Linked DNA regions of Canis lupus familiaris. The protein of the gene in region 3 purifies or fractionates together with the protein of the main gene of each other region. This does not show direct contact. Links are inferred from orthologs where the notes say so. Each region holds a gene or a part of one and is shown on either strand. Other genes may lie near its edges.

Region 1 (3,500 bases), on a different chromosome or scaffold from region 3:
GGAGCCCTCGTGCCGTGAGTTCCGGGGACTGAAAGAGCAGCGAGGCGGCCCCTTGGGATGGGGAGGGCCTGGAGTCTCATCCACCCGGTCCAGCTGCTGCAGCACTGCAGCCTTTGTCTGCAAGCAGGGGCCGGGTGGCTTGCCTAGGCCCGGGGAGCTGGTATGCGGCCGCACGGCATTGACCGGAATCTTGCCGCTGTGCTTGTCGCTCTCGCCGTGCTCCAGGCGGCCGCCCTCAGGGCCCGAGTGCCCACTGCCGTCCAGGGTACCAGGGAAGCCCTCGGGGCTCCCACCGATCCCGTTGGTGGGGAGAGGGGACGAATTGGGTACCAGGGAGTCATGACTGGCTTTGGAGACCTTAGGAGGTGGCCCAGGGTGGCCGAGGTCACGCTGATCTCCGCGGCGCTTGCGGCTGCCCAGCCTGTCCAGCCGCTGCCCAGGCAGCCTCTGGATGTCATTGCGGTTCTTCAGGTCATGGATGCTCTTAGGCGTGCCGGCCGCCCCCGCCTCCGGCCTGCAGTTATGAGCACCCCCGTTGGCAGAGCCGGTGCCTCCCCCCAGCCCTCGCAGCGCCGCCTCATTCTGGTGCACGGGCTCGATGAGCTTCTGCCAGCTCCGCAGCAGCTTTTTGGCCCGCTTGGCGAGCTCCTCGTTCTTGGTTTTCTTGCGGACGTCGTTGATGAGCTTCCCAAGTCGAGTCTCCTACAACCAGAGAGACGATGACATGCTTTTGGGAAAGAAGTCCCCCATGAAAAGGGAGCTGAGCCAGAAACGGTGGGAAGGGCCCCTAGTCTTTGATTAATCCCACTGACCCTTAAACCACAGAGTTCCTGGATACAAAACCCATAAGGATTTGGTGTCCTTTGTGACATCTAACTTCAAGAATCTAGTCCTTAAACTTTAGGGTCTCAGGGCCACAGGAGGCATCTTCAAAAGTACCATCCCGGGATCCCTGGGTGGCTCAGCAGTTTGGCGCCTGCCTTCAGCTCAGGGCATGATCTTGAGTCCCGCATCAGGTTTCCTGCATGGAGCCTGCTTCTTCCTCTGCTTGCCCCTCTCTCTTTCTCTCTCTCTCTCTCTCTCTCTGTGTCTCTCATGAATAAATAAATAAAATCTTAAAAAAAAAAAAAAAAAAAAAAGCACCATCCCACAGGCTTCTGACCTGGAGGCTGTGGACCATCAAAGCCAGTGAAATGACACTATGCCAAGGAAGCTCTTTGGGAGAAATGCTATGGCAAAGGCAACAGCAAACGGAGGGCCTGAGCCAGCATCACTCACTGGAGCTTAACCCCTCAGGCATGCCTCCCAGGCCTGGGACTAAAGCCACCCGATTCCTGCAGTACCTATAGGAAAATGCTGCTTCTGGGCACAGCAAAGGCCAGGAGAGTATGCACCCCCCTCACTCAGCACTACTAAGTCCTCATCTGGCCAGTGAGAGCACAAGGCTCCAAGAAGCCACGAAGGACTTGGGCTGGGGGAGGCCAAGCTCTGCCCACCCAATATTGGGTCCTGGGGACACTCACCTCCAGTGCCTCTTTGGTAATGGGGTATTTCTCCAGGCTGGAGATGACTTCCAGCACCGCCACCATGTTCCGGATCTGCAAAACAAGAGCCGCTTGTCAAACCTCTGCCCTTCTCCCTGTTCTAGCCCATTCTGGCCTCTCTCCCCAAGGGCCAGTGGAGTCAAGCAACACCAGAGTTCTCACCCCATGCAGCCTCCTCCTCCTACCTGCTCCCAGAGCCAACAAGGTACCCAGTGCTCATGAGCCCGTCCATGGACATGCCTGCCTGCCCAAGTGGTTGTCACATGGCTGAAACCCATGACATTCATGAAATAAGATCTGCTCTTGATATGGCAGAGGTGTTCTACTCTACCATCTCATGGGGGCGGGGGGCAGGGTGCTGAAGATTTATCAAATAAAACACCAAGTTTAAAAGAACAATAAAGGCATACTTCCTTTTGTTGTTCTTGCTTTAATACACTTCACAGATTCTGTGTTTTTTACCAAATGAAGGTCTGTAGCAACACTGCATTGAGCAAGTGTTGGTGGCATTTTTCCAACGGCATTTGCTCACTTTGTGTCTCTGTATCACATTTTAGTAATTCTGATCATATTTCAGATTTTTCCATTGTTATATTTGTTACAGTGATCTGTGTGATCAGTGATTCTTGATGTTACTATTGGTGATTGTTTTGGGGTGCCACAAACTGCACCCATACAAGATGGCAAACTTGATTCATACTGTGTGTGTTCTGACTGCTCCGCTGCCCAGCCATTCCTCTGTCTCCTCTCCTTGGGTCTCCCTATTCCCTGAGACACAACAATATTGAAATTAGGCCAACCCATAACCCTACAAAATGGCCTCGAAGTGTTCAAGTGAGGAAGAGTCACACATCTCTCACTTTAAATCAAAAGCTAGAAATGGGGGGCATCTGGGTGGCTCAGTCTGTTAAGCGTCTGCCTTTGGCTCAGGTCATGATACTGGGATTGAGCCCCAAGTCGGGCTCCCTGCTCTGCAGGGAGTCTGCTTCTCCCTCTCCTCCCCACTTGTGCTCTCTCTCGCTACCCGTCTCTCTCAAATAAATAAAACCTTTTAATAATAATTTTAAAAGGCTATAAATGAGTACACTTAGTGAGAGGAAGGCCTGCCCCAAGCCCCAAACCAAGAAAGGCCTCTTGTTCCAAACAGTTAGCCAAGCTGTGAAGGCAAAGAAAGTTCTTGAGGGAAATTAAAATGCTATTCCAGTGAACAAGCAGAAGAAAGCAAAATTGCCTTACTGCTGATGTGGACCAAGTTTGAGTAGTCTGGATATAAGATCAAACAGCATAACATTCCTTTAAGCCAAAGCCTAGTCTAGAACAAGGCTCTACCTCTCTTCAATTCACTGAAAACTGGAAGAGGTGAGGAAGCTGCAGAAGCAAAGTCTGAAGCCAGTGGAGGTTGGTTCGTGAGGTTTAAGGAAAAGCCAACTTCGTAACCTAAAAGTGCAAGGTGAAGCAGAAAGTGCTGATGTAGAAGCCACAGCAAGGTATCCAGAAGAAGAAGCTGAGATAATTGATAAAGGTGGCTACATCCAACAACAGATTTTCAATGTAGACCAAACAGCTTTCTATTGGGAAAAGATGCTGGCCTTTCATAGCTAGAGAGGAGAAGTCAATGTCTGGCTTCAAAGCTTCAAAGGACAAGCTGACTCTTATTGGGGGCTCATGCAGCTGGTGACTAAGTTGAAGCCGATGCTCATTTACCATTTGGAAAATCCTAGGGCCCCATAAGAATTATGCCAAATTGACTGCATGAGCTCTAGAAATGGAACAACAAAGCCTCATGACAGCACATCAATTTGCCACATGGTTTACAGACTATTTTAAGCCTACTCTTGAGACATACCGCGTTTAGGAAAAAAGATTCCTTTCAAAATACTACCGCTTGTTGACAGTGTACATGGTACCCAAGAGCTTTGATGGCGACGAACAATGAGATTAATGTTCTCATGCCTG
Region 2 (3,500 bases), on a different chromosome or scaffold from region 3:
AGTTGGGGGCAAGTTTGTCCACCAGGGGACACTTGGAAATGCAGGAAATCATTTTTGGTTGCCAAAACTATGGATGTGAGTGCTCCTGGTATCCAGTGGGTAGAGCCCAGGGATGCTGCTAAGCATCCTGGAATCCATCCCTCTGCAGTTAATTTTTTTTTTTAAAGATTTTATTTACTTATTCATGAGAGACACACAGAGAGAGGCAGAGACACAGGCAGAGGGAGAAGCGGGCTCCATGCAGGGACCCCAATGAGGGACTTGATTCCTGGACTCTGGGATCACACCCTGAGCCAAAGGAAATGCTCAACAGCTGAGCCACCCAGGCATCCCCCTCTGCAGTGATTTTTTCCATGACCAACCCATCCCGCCAAGAAGCAGACAGACAGAAGGGCCCCAGAGCTCACCCTCATTGGCAGCCTCCCTCTCTCGGTGCTTGGCGTCTGCCTTATCCAGGTAGGAGAAGCTCGGCCGAAGCTGCAGGATGCCATGTAAAGGCGTCAGGTGAAGCTCACCTGGCAGAGGAAGAAGGGCTTGGACCTGACTCTAGGAACTAGGGCTAGCCCACCCATCCCATCCTGGCCTTGGCCTGCTGCCAAAACAACCTCACCTCTGCTCTAGCCCCCAGTCCCAGAGCCTTGGGACCACTGGGAATGTGGCCATTCCCAATCCCACCTGGCCCTGAGGATGCAGTAAGCACACAATGGCATATACCTAGAGCATTCTGCTCAAAGCTGCTTCTTTAAGCCTTTAAGGCCTTCCCAACCCCGGTCACCACCACCTCCCTGCCAGTAGCTCACTCTGGCACACACAGGGCAACTCTTCCAAACACAGCCTGCTCTTCCTACCAGGCCCTTGTCAGACAAATACCAAATGATTTCACTCATATGTGGAATTTAAGAAACAAAAGAATGGGGGAAAAAAAGCACACACACAAAAAACCAGACTTGGGGCTCCTGGCTGGCTCAGTCTATAGAACATGTGACTCTCCACCTCTAGGTTAGGAGTTTAAGCCCCACATTGGGTGGGTGTGGAGCCTACTTAACAAAACAAAACAATCACAGAACCCACAGACTCTTAACTACAGAGAACAAACTGATGGTCACCAGAGGGGAGGGGGGTGGGGGATGGGTAAAATAGGCGATGGGGAGTCAGAGCACATGTATCACAATGAGCCCCGAGCCAGGTACAGAATCACTGAATCACTCCATTGTACGACAGACACGAATATAACACTTTGTTCATTAAAACGGAAGTAAAAAAATTTAAAAAAAAATCATCTTCTCACTCTCCATATAATAATAATTTCCAGAAATGTTAAACAGTTTTGTATAAAATTAAACTTTAAATACTAGAAAAAAAATTCTAGGATGGGAGAAAGAATCCTAAAGAACAAGACAGGACAGGCAATTTGGCTACAGAAAAATACAATCACGTTGGGAAGATGGGAAAAGTCCTGCAGATGGATGGTGGGGACGGTGGTACACCAACTTGAATGCCCTCAATGTCACTGAACTATATATACACTTAAAAATGGTTAAAATGAGGGGTGCCTGGGTGGCGCAGTCAGGTAGGTGTCTGACTGGGTTTCAGTTCAGGTCGTGATCTCAAGGTTGTGAGGTCAAGCCCCGTGTCAGGCTCTGTGCTCAGCACAGAGTCTAAGATTCTCCTCTTCCTCTGCCTACCCTTACCCACCCTCCTGGGAGTGTGCACTCTCTAAAATAAAGAAATCTTTTTTAAAAAGTATATTTAACAATAAAAAATAGTTAAGAAAAATGAATGGCCCTAGTTGCAAGATGTGAGACACAGACGCAAAAAAGAAAGATATTTATCTGATAATACTTTTGAGTCTATTCTAGTTTGTTTCCTAAGTGTTCAGATTAGCTTTACTTATTGTTTTATGAACTCTACACTTACTTTCAATGCTTTTACGGAGATATAATTCACGTGCCATGCAAAACTCACCCATTTAAAGCAAACTAGTCAATGTATTTTAATATGTTCCTGGAGTTGTACAACCAGCACTATAGTCAATTTAAGAACATTTCAGGGGCACTGGGGTGGCTCGGCTGTGTTCCGCTCTTGATTTCGGCTCAGGTCATGATCTCAGGCTCCTGAGATTGAGGCCCTGCGCTGGGCTCTGCACTGGGCATGGAGCCTGCTTGGGATTCTCACTCCCTCCACCCCCCAAAGAACATTTTTGTCTCCCTAGATAGAAACCCTGAACCCATCCTCGGTCATTCCCCATTCCATATTCCTCCCAGCCACAGGCAACTACGACCTGCTTTCTCTACAAACTTGCCTCTTTAGGACACTTCATATAAATGGACTCAGAATATGTGGCCTTCTGTGAGTGGCTTTTCTCACTGAGCATCACATTTTCAAGGTTCATGCATGCTAGAGGATGTAGGAGTACTTCATTCCTTCACGTGGCCAAGTAACTTTTAATGGCATGGCACTGTGCAATCCAGGCATCAGCTGACAGAACTGTTTCACTATTATGCTTCTATGATACATCCATGTACAAGTTTTTGTGTGGACAGACATTTTAATTCTCTAGGGTAGATGCTAAGAGTAAAACTGCTCATGCACAAGCACCTTGTTTTGTTTTTTGGGGGGCGGGGGGGTTTGAGAAGGAGGAAGAGGGAGAGAGAGTGCACGATCAAGTGAGTAGGGGGAGTTAGGCTGTGCCTATGTCCCAGGAGGACAATGACCTTGGAAGCAGCATCTCTATCAGGTCAAGATCCAAAGCCAGAAATCCTCAGAAGTGGCCTATTCCAGCGCCCTGACAATGTCACTTCCACAACCAGCCTGGCCCCTATGGGTGTCCGGTATTCGGAGAATAGCAAGCTGAGTACCAGGCTAGAGATAGCCCACCCCATCCCAGCCCCCATCCTGCTTCCCTCCAAGCAGCCTCCAGGAGCCACAGCAGCCTGGCTGCCCAGTGTGGGTACCTTGCCGGTAGAGCGCAGCAGCGTAACGGGCTGTGTTACTAGTGCTCTGGGAGGAACAGAACGTCTGCTTGTCCATCAGCTTCCTGGGAGCATGGGGAGAACAGAAGTCAAGGGGAAGGAAGCTCCAATCTCAAAGCACAGCAGGGATAGCCCTCTCTACCCCAGACACCTTCCAAAGTTCAACACCCAGGGACAGGGCGCAAGGCCCCACCTCAGCATGTGCGAGCCTCAGGAGGGAAGCTGGGGAAGAGAAAACTCAAGACCTGGTTTGTGGCCCAGGGACAAGTAGTAGGTCAAGCCCCCACCCCCATCAAAGGAGACATTTGCCACGGGGCAGCGTTGCACCAGACCCAAGCATGTGAAATTGGGACTCTGGGAGGGAGCCTGGCAATGAGGGACAAGGGCCTTGGTGTCTTACAGGCCTTTGGAAGGCTCGGATCGGGGCCCGTCAGAGCTTGGATGCTGGACCCAGGGAACTCACGAGGAGTAAGTGCTGCTGTCGTCCGCGCAGGCGCCGTCCACATTGAGTGCAATCTGCTCCCCTTT
Region 3 (4,281 bases):
CGGGGCGGCAAAGCCGTCTAAATCACACCCTTTGGGCTCAATCTCTCAGGAGTGACGCCTTCTCTTGCTTCTGGGGGTGGGGGTGGGGGGGCGGGCAGCGGCTCAGACGGGCCTCGCAAGGCCCCTCTCTGCTCCGTCGAGGGTGAGAAGCAAAGCTGGAGGGACTCGGAGGGGGACGCTAGGCCCAGAAGGCGGGGGTGAGGACGTGATGCTCGGAACTGAGACCCTCCCGTGTCTCTCATCCTCTTCCCTCCTCCTCTTCTCCAGGGTTCCTCTTCTAGGAAGTCACACCTGGAGCAACCTGGCCTGCGGGGTGTACGGGGTGGAGACAGGGAGGAAAGGTGAAGGGGTGAGGCCCGAGGGGAGAGATGTCTAGGTGCTGGCGAGGAGGCTCCTGGAAGGCGGGCGTGGGGGTACAGAGGTCGTTTTTCCCTGGCGGGGCCCAAGGAGAAACTCGAGTAGCTGCTGACGTCTCGCCGCCACCTGGGGATCTGTGTTCTCTCTCAGGGTCTGGAGAAGGATGGAGCAGAGGGTGGGGTGAGCACAGGGTGGATGGACAATGTAGGAGAGAGCGTGTTAGGGGAGAGGCGGGTGCCCAGGACACGGGCAGTGTGCGGGAGGACGCAGTACCAGGATGGAGGGGCCCGCGGGAGGCAGAGGCGGTGCCCAGGAAGGGGCAGTGTGAGAGGAGCGGCACCCAAGAGGAGGGGGGGCTCGTATCCGTGGGAGCGGACGGTGCCAGCCTGAAGGGGCACGTAGATCAGCGTCCAAGGGAGAAGGCGGGGGGGGGGGGGCAGGTAGTACCAAGCTGCAGGGGCAGCGCTGTGTGATGGGGTTAAACGCCAGCCGTCAGCCGGGCTGAAGAGGCGGAGTGGAAGAGAGTGGGGCCCCGGGGAAGAGGGCAGTGGTAGGGGGGTGCTGTACCAGGGGAAGGGACGAGCGCAGGCTTTCCTCTTCCCCATAGTGACATCATGGCAAATTCCCAAACGGGACGGAGCCGGCTCGGGTGACATCCAGCAGGGCCAAGCCGGTCCAGCCCGGTCCAGCCCGGTCCAGCCCGGGCCCGGCTAGGAAGCCTCGGTGCCAGCTGTGGGGACTGGGCTCTGCGCCCCGCAGGGTCAGCGCGCTGGGGGCGGAGTTCCGCCCCGTCCGCCCTCCGCGTGGACTGTGCCCTCGGCGGGCACGCAGACCAGCAGGGGAAGGTTTGCGCCGGGCTTCTCCGGGCCAAGGATCAAGGTCCCGGGCTGGGGTAGGCCCGCCCGCATTCCAGGCGTCCCGACCCGGCCTCTCAAGAGGGCGCAGCCGAGCCTCCGCGTACAGCGAGACGCCGCGCCGCCTCGGCTGGAGGTGGAACTAACCGGGTCCCCGCCCCGGGGCGGAGCCACCCGGCCCCGAGTCCCGCCCCCCACTCCCGAGGCCTCTCGGAAGGCGTCGTTCGGGGCGGAAGTCCGCGAGCCCCGAGGCCCAGGCGGCGGAAGTGGCGGCGGCGCTGCCTGCCCGCGCGCATGCGTGTTTCTAGGGCTCTGCGGCCGCTCTCTGGGCGCGCGCTCTCCTTCTCTCCTTTACTCCACGCGAGGGGGAGCGCGTACCCCTAGGCGTGGTCGCGCTCCCGGCCCCTCTCGTACTCTCGTGGCCACCTCACCATGGCGGGCATCCTGTTTGAGGATATTTTCGATGTGAAAGACATTGACCCGGAGGGCAAGAAGTTTGACCGAGGTAAGGTGGAGGTAGACGTAGGGGCGGCCGAGTCAGGGGGTAACCTCCTCGGGGACACGCCTGTGGGCCCCTGGTCCACCCACGCCGCGTGGCCCGCCCCTGCCGGCAGTTCCTGACTCAGGAATCCCCATCAGGAGACCTTGGATCGATGGGAACTCGGCGTCTCCCGAACTCCGCCTGGCTCCACACAGGCTGGCCCGGTGCCTGGGTGGCCCGTTCTCATGGTGCTGGTGCACCCCCGTGCATCTTCCAGTCGCTCCCCACTCTGCTGGGCGCTGTAGCGTGCACCTTACACACACTTCGTCCTGCCCAGTTCTCTCAGGAGCCTCCATGAAGTAGTTGGTGTCTTACCCATTTTGCCCCGAGAAGTTAAGTAAGCTACCCAAGGCTGCACAGTGACTAGTCCGACTTCAGAGCCTGTATTCTTGTATTGTCCTGAGAATCTCTAGCCCTTTGTGACATCCGCTCTGAATTAGGATTGCTGCTTGCCATACAGCTCTTTATTCTGCCGTTGATCAGACTGGGCCTCCTTGGGGGTCTCTTCTTTTGTCCAGAGACTGAGATGTTCTTCAAGACAAACACCAGGTCTTAACAGTCCTGATAGTCCACTCAGCACAGCAGCTGGCACAGAAAGACAAAACTTTTTTTTTTTTTTTTTTAAGATTTATTTATTTGATAGAGAAAGCAGAGTGAGAGCGTATGAGTGAGGAGGAGGGGCAGGGAGAGAAAGAGAGACAAGCAGACTCCCTGCTTGAACAAGGAGCCGGATGCGGGGCTCCATCCCAGGACCCCGGATCACGACCTGGACTGAAGGCAGATAAACAACTGGGCCACCCAGGCGCCCTGAGACAAAACCTTTGGGGGGATCCCTGGGTGGCTCAGCGGTTGAGCACCTGCCTTTGGCCCAGGGCGTGATCCTGGAGTCCCGAGTCGGGCTCCCTGCAGGGAGCCTGCTTCTCCCTCTGCCTTTGTCTCTGTCTCTCTCTCTGTGTCTCTCATGAATAAATAAATAAAATCTTTATAAAAAAAAAAAAAAGACAAAACCTTTGGATGAATGAATAACTTGTCTAAAGTCAGGTTGTTTGTTAATCACCTAGGCAGGCCTAGAACCTGGATATTATTTATTGCCAGAGGGACCTTTGGTTGTTTTCTGGGATTCTGTCCACTTGCCATAGTTTTCACTCCTTTCCTTCTGGCATATCTGGTTCTCATTGAGTCTGCACTTCTTTGAGAGCAGACGTGAGGCTAGTGGATGCAGATGGGGTTCGAATGAGTGCTCAATTGCATGTAATCCCCCAAAGTGGGGTCTGCAGGGTCTGCAGAGCCTGGCAATTACCTATGCCACTCTTTCTCTACCTCCCTCCAGTGTCTCGGCTACATTGTGAGAGTGAATCTTTCAAAATGGACCTGATCTTAGATGTAAACATTCAGATTTACCCTGTAGACTTGGGTAAGTATTGAACACAGACAATAGCAGAAGGCTTTTTGACATTTCAGCTGTTCTTTAGCCTCTGGTATTGCCATGATTTTCAGGTGACAAGTTCCGGTTGGTCATAGCCAGTACATTATATGAAGATGGTACCCTGGATGACGGTGAATACAACCCCACAGATGATAGGCCTTCCAGGTGAGGAAGTGAAGTACTTCCCTCTCAGGAAAGGAGTACTTGAAATACGCTTGAGGACTAAGTAGATAAGTGGTATAGGAAAAAACCCTTATTTAATTTGTGGAATAAATGATTATCAGTAGTATCTGAGCAACCTTAAGGAAATTGCTGCACTTAAGAATTCAATGGGGATCCCCAGGTGGCTCAGCGGTTTAAGCGCCTGCCTTCGGCCCAGGGCATGATCCTGGAGTCCCTTCGGCCCAGGGCATGATCCTGGAGTCCCGGGATTGAGTCCCGTGTCGGGCTCCCTGCATGGAGCCTGCTTCTCCCTCCGCTTCTCCCTCTGCCTGTGTCTCTGCCTCTTTTTCTCTCTCTCTTTCTCTCTCTCTCTGTGTCTCTCATAAATAAATAAATAAATAAATAAATAAATAAATAAATAAATAAAATCTTAAAAAAAAAAAAAAAGAATTCAAACAACCAGGTAGCCTGGATGACTCATGGCTCAGTGGTTTAGCGCTGCCTTCAGCCCAGGGCTTGGTCCTGGGGACCTGGGATCGAGTCCTGGGTTGGGCTCCCTGCATGGGGCCTGCTTCTCCCTCTGCCTGTGTCTCTGCCTCTCTCTCTCATGAATAAATAAATAAAATCTTAAAAAAAAAAAATTCTAACAACCAGGTGTTTTTCCAGGGCAGCAATTACATGCTTGTGGGTTGTACCTTATCGATGGCTAAGGAGATGACCATCAAGTGACCCAGGCTATGTGAGCCTTGCGTCTTGGGAGAGAGTTTGGTGTGATGGAAGGGCTTTGGAGCTCTACTGAGTTCAAATCTCAGCCCTATCAGTTCTTTGTTGAATGGCTTTAACCTCTTGCAGCCTCAGTTTCCCCATCAGTAAAGTGCAGATGATCACACCTTGCTCATATGGTTGCTGGGAGGACTAAATGGCATTGTGTTTGGAAAACG
Region 4 (3,500 bases), on a different chromosome or scaffold from region 3:
CTGAATTGTTCAACATGCAGCCACTGTTTGCAGGTAGGACCCAGTCACGAAGGCTTGCAAGAACACTGCATGTTTTAGGTTTGCTGGATGAGTTTGGTTTTGATTTGTAAAACACATTTGTTATTTTTAAAAGGGTGCCTTCCTGCAAATATTTATTGATAACTTACTTTGCTCCAGGCACAAGTTAGTGGCTAGGGATGTAGCAGAACAGATACAGGTCCTGTCGCTGCTATGTTTACAGATTTGAGATCAGAAAATAATCAGTTAAAGCCATTTGAGCAGGGTTGCCTGGGTGGATCAGTTAAGCGTCTGCCTTTGGCTCAGGTCATGATCTCAGGGTCCTGCTCAGCAGGGAGTCTGCTTCTCCCTCTTTCTCTGTGCTTGTGGTCTCTCACTCTCAAATCAGTGAATAAAATCTTTAAAAGGTGGGGAGGGAGACTAAAAGGTGGTGAGGGGGACGCCTGGGTGGCTCAGCGTCTGCCTTCTGGGTGGCTCAGGGGCTGCCCTGGAGTAGAGGCTTTAGAGAAGATGGGAGTTACTTAGAGGTTAGACAGCCCTTTTCATGTTGATGAGAAGTCTCTCTATACTTTCTAATTAGGAGGAGATCCATTTTTTCCCCTAATTTAGTGAGAGAGCTTGTACTGCTTCTCTTCTTTGGCATTTTATGATGCTCAGGGCCAGAGTGTGGGATCTTCCAGAATGATAGGTCAGAGGGTCAGACTCAAGGGGCTCCTGTTCTCTAAATCTTAAATACTGAGAACCACAGTGAGGGAGGGTATAGTTGAGGAAGGATTGTTAGGGTCACAGTAGATCTGCCTGATGCCTTCCAAGGCAGTAGTTCTGGCTTTATTCCTGCAGAGCAGTGGTGCCAGTCCTTTCAAGAATCTGAAGGACCAGGGGATCCCTGGGTGGCTCAGCGGTTTAGAGCCTGCCTTTGGCCCAGGGCGCGATCCTGGAGTCCCGGGATCGAGTCCCATGTCGGGCTCCCAGCATGGAGCCTGCTTCTCCCTCTGCCTGTGTCTCTGCCTCTCTCTCTCTCTCTCTATGTCTATCATAAATAAATAAATAAATCTTAAAAAAAAAAGAAAGAATCTGAAGGACTGGACCTACTTTCCAGAAACATACGTAATACGTAAGAATATATATGAAATTTTGCATATAATTGTAAAGGGCTCTGAGTCCCATCTGCGACTCTCCTAGGGGTCCAGAGTCTGTAGGTTAAGGACTCCTTGCTTTGCGAACAAATACATCTACATTTAAATTATCCTCCAGGGCAGCCGGGGTGGCTCAGGGAGTTTAGCTGCTGCCTTCAGCCCAGGGCGTGATCCTGGACCCAGATCGAGTCCCACGGGCTTCCTGCAGGGAACCTGCTTCTCCCTCTGCCTCTGCCTCTGTCTCTGTCTCTGCCTCCCCCTCCCTCTCCCTCTCTCTCTCTGTTTCCCATGAATAAATAAATAAAATCTTTAAAATAAATAAATAATCCTCCAAGTGCTCTTCTGACTTCCAAGGAGGCAAAGGAAATTGTTCTCAAATTTTTGTTTTTACAGGTAAAAAATGTGTAAATACTAGTTTATTCTAGCCAACATATATATACACGTACACACACATGCAGCATTTATTGAGTCCTTAACTATTTGTCAGGCACTGTTCTAAGTACTTTTAATGCACGAGGATTGTCATAATTCATGTGACAACCCTCTGGTGGTTCTATCGATGACGAAACTGGTACAGAGTTTGACAGGGACATAATGTTGATGTGTGTGTGTGTGTGTGTATATATATATATACACACACCTTTATATATAATTATAATGTGTATATATAAAAATATAAATTTCCTTTATCCGTCTTTATCTATCTATATGACCTGGGATTGAAACTCAGACAAGGCCACTCTAGAGCTTATACTCCTACCCTCTAGATTATACTGCCCTTATATGAATACTTTATGGGAGATAAGAGAGCTTCATGTAAGTAACACATACCTTACATTTATGCTTGCTTATCTTTTATAAGGCGGGCAAAACTATTTACTGCAAAGAGCCGAGGACTTGGTTTCTAATCCCATCTCGGCCACTGCCTGGTGAACTGACTTAGGACAAATCATTTCGTTGGGAGGCTTTTTCCTTATTTGTAAAATGAAGAGGTTGGACCAGATGACCCCTTCATTTGACTCCTTAATTTCTTCTCCATATCCTCCAACTGTATACTAAAGCGACAGACTAAATATTCATAGGATCCATCATGTTAAACTCTGGGAAGTCCTACAGTAAAGAAATCTGTCTGTCTTAGATTAACAGTGAATAAATATTAAATGCTATTATAATCTGGGCCTTACAGCTTCCTTTTTTCCTATTTTTGTTTTGTGTCTTGATAGATGAATCACTTGAGAGCGACTTGACACAAGAGAGTCAGGCCAAAACTTTTAGAGAAAAGGTAAGAATGACAGAAGTGAGACATGGGACCTGCCTCACGTTCCTTCTGTGCCTTGTGCTTCTCCATCAGGAAAATGAGCTGACTGAGCACAGGGCTGCTCCCAGCTCATTCTGTCTGTGGTTCTCCAGTCAGCCTGCCTGTGGAGGCTTCTCAGCTTCACAGAGCGCCGTCCTCCCGCCTGGGGCAGCTATACTCAGCTCCATCCCAGTGTTTGGAACTGATTCTCTGGGCTGACATAGGTGTAGTGTAACACTTGTTTTTGGATTGAATGCAAGTTTCAGAAAATTCTGGCTGTAGCCTGGAAGCTTTCACATTAAAACAGAGTAAACTTCAGGATTTTCAGCGTAGGTGGTTCCTATAAAGCTAATCTCACTCCAGGATTGCAAATTGATTGAGTCTTCAGTGCTGCCTGGAGCACTGTATTGAGAAGGTGTGAGGCTGTCTTCAGGCTCAGTGGGAAAGAGTGAGTGATTAGCAACATCTGCTATGGGTGTAAGGCTGGAAAATGGTAAGTTATGTGCCAGATTTACCAATCCTCATTCTGATCCAGGCTTTTCACTGTACAAATGGAGACACTGTTGATTTGTAAAGAGCCCATGACAGTTTCCAAAGCAAGTACTTCAGGGATCCCTGGGTGGCGTAGCGGTTTGGTGCCTGCCTTTGGCCCAGGGCGCGATCCTGGAGATCCGGGATCGAGTCCCACGTCGGGCTCCCGGTGCATGGAGCCTGCTTCTCCCTCTGCCTGTGTCTCTGCCTCTCTCTCTCACTGTGTGCCTATCATAAATAAATAAAAATTAAAAAAAAAAATTAGCCAAAGCAGGTACTTCAGATCTGCTAATACACCAGCCTGTGAGATAGAGAGGTATGATTTAGCCTGATTTATAGGTGAGGTAATCCTGGCCTAGAAAGGCTGAGTTTCCGCATGGTCACACAGCTAGGAGTAGTAGTGCCCAGACTGTCCCTACACAAACCAAATTTGTCTATGCACAGATGGATTCTTGCATTGAAGCCTTTGGAACCACCAAACAGAAGCGGGCTTTGAACTCCAGAAGAATGAACACAGT

The links. Proteins that work in one complex are often made in the same cells at the same time.
Region 1: the proteins of POLR2H (region 3) and MED26 purify together in Homo sapiens (affinity purification with mass spectrometry; 3 studies listed by BioGRID and IntAct, with this or other methods). This does not show direct contact. The link is inferred for Canis lupus familiaris from reciprocal best matches to the Homo sapiens genes POLR2H and MED26.
Region 2: the proteins of POLR2H (region 3) and POLR3E purify together in Homo sapiens (affinity purification with mass spectrometry; 3 studies listed by BioGRID and IntAct, with this or other methods). This does not show direct contact. The link is inferred for Canis lupus familiaris from reciprocal best matches to the Homo sapiens genes POLR2H and POLR3E.
Region 4: the proteins of POLR2H (region 3) and POLR1E purify together in Homo sapiens (affinity purification with mass spectrometry; 3 studies listed by BioGRID and IntAct, with this or other methods). This does not show direct contact. The link is inferred for Canis lupus familiaris from reciprocal best matches to the Homo sapiens genes POLR2H and POLR1E.

The regions. Positions count from the first base shown.
Region 1 is NC_049241.1:46,379,603-46,383,102, reverse strand, and holds part of MED26 (mediator of RNA polymerase II transcription subunit 26), read right to left. Parts: intron 1,599-3,500; coding exon 1,524-1,598; intron 703-1,523; coding exon 1-702. UniProt on the Homo sapiens protein: Component of the Mediator complex, a coactivator involved in the regulated transcription of nearly all RNA polymerase II-dependent genes.
Region 2 is NC_049227.1:23,577,138-23,580,637, forward strand, and holds part of POLR3E (DNA-directed RNA polymerase III subunit RPC5), read right to left. Parts: coding exon 3,436-3,500; intron 3,038-3,435; coding exon 2,955-3,037; intron 516-2,954; coding exon 408-515; intron 1-407. UniProt on the Homo sapiens protein: DNA-dependent RNA polymerase catalyzes the transcription of DNA into RNA using the four ribonucleoside triphosphates as substrates.
Region 3 is NC_049255.1:17,408,529-17,412,809, forward strand, and holds the start of POLR2H (DNA-directed RNA polymerases I, II, and III subunit RPABC3), read left to right. Parts: upstream 1-1,481; 5' UTR 1,482-1,643; coding exon 1,644-1,716; intron 1,717-3,082; coding exon 3,083-3,166; intron 3,167-3,249; coding exon 3,250-3,343; intron 3,344-4,281. UniProt on the Homo sapiens protein: DNA-dependent RNA polymerase catalyzes the transcription of DNA into RNA using the four ribonucleoside triphosphates as substrates.
Region 4 is NC_049232.1:54,129,950-54,133,449, forward strand, and holds part of POLR1E (DNA-directed RNA polymerase I subunit RPA49), read left to right. Parts: coding exon 1-33; intron 34-2,377; coding exon 2,378-2,436; intron 2,437-3,426; coding exon 3,427-3,500. UniProt on the Homo sapiens protein: Component of RNA polymerase I (Pol I), a DNA-dependent RNA polymerase which synthesizes ribosomal RNA precursors using the four ribonucleoside triphosphates as substrates.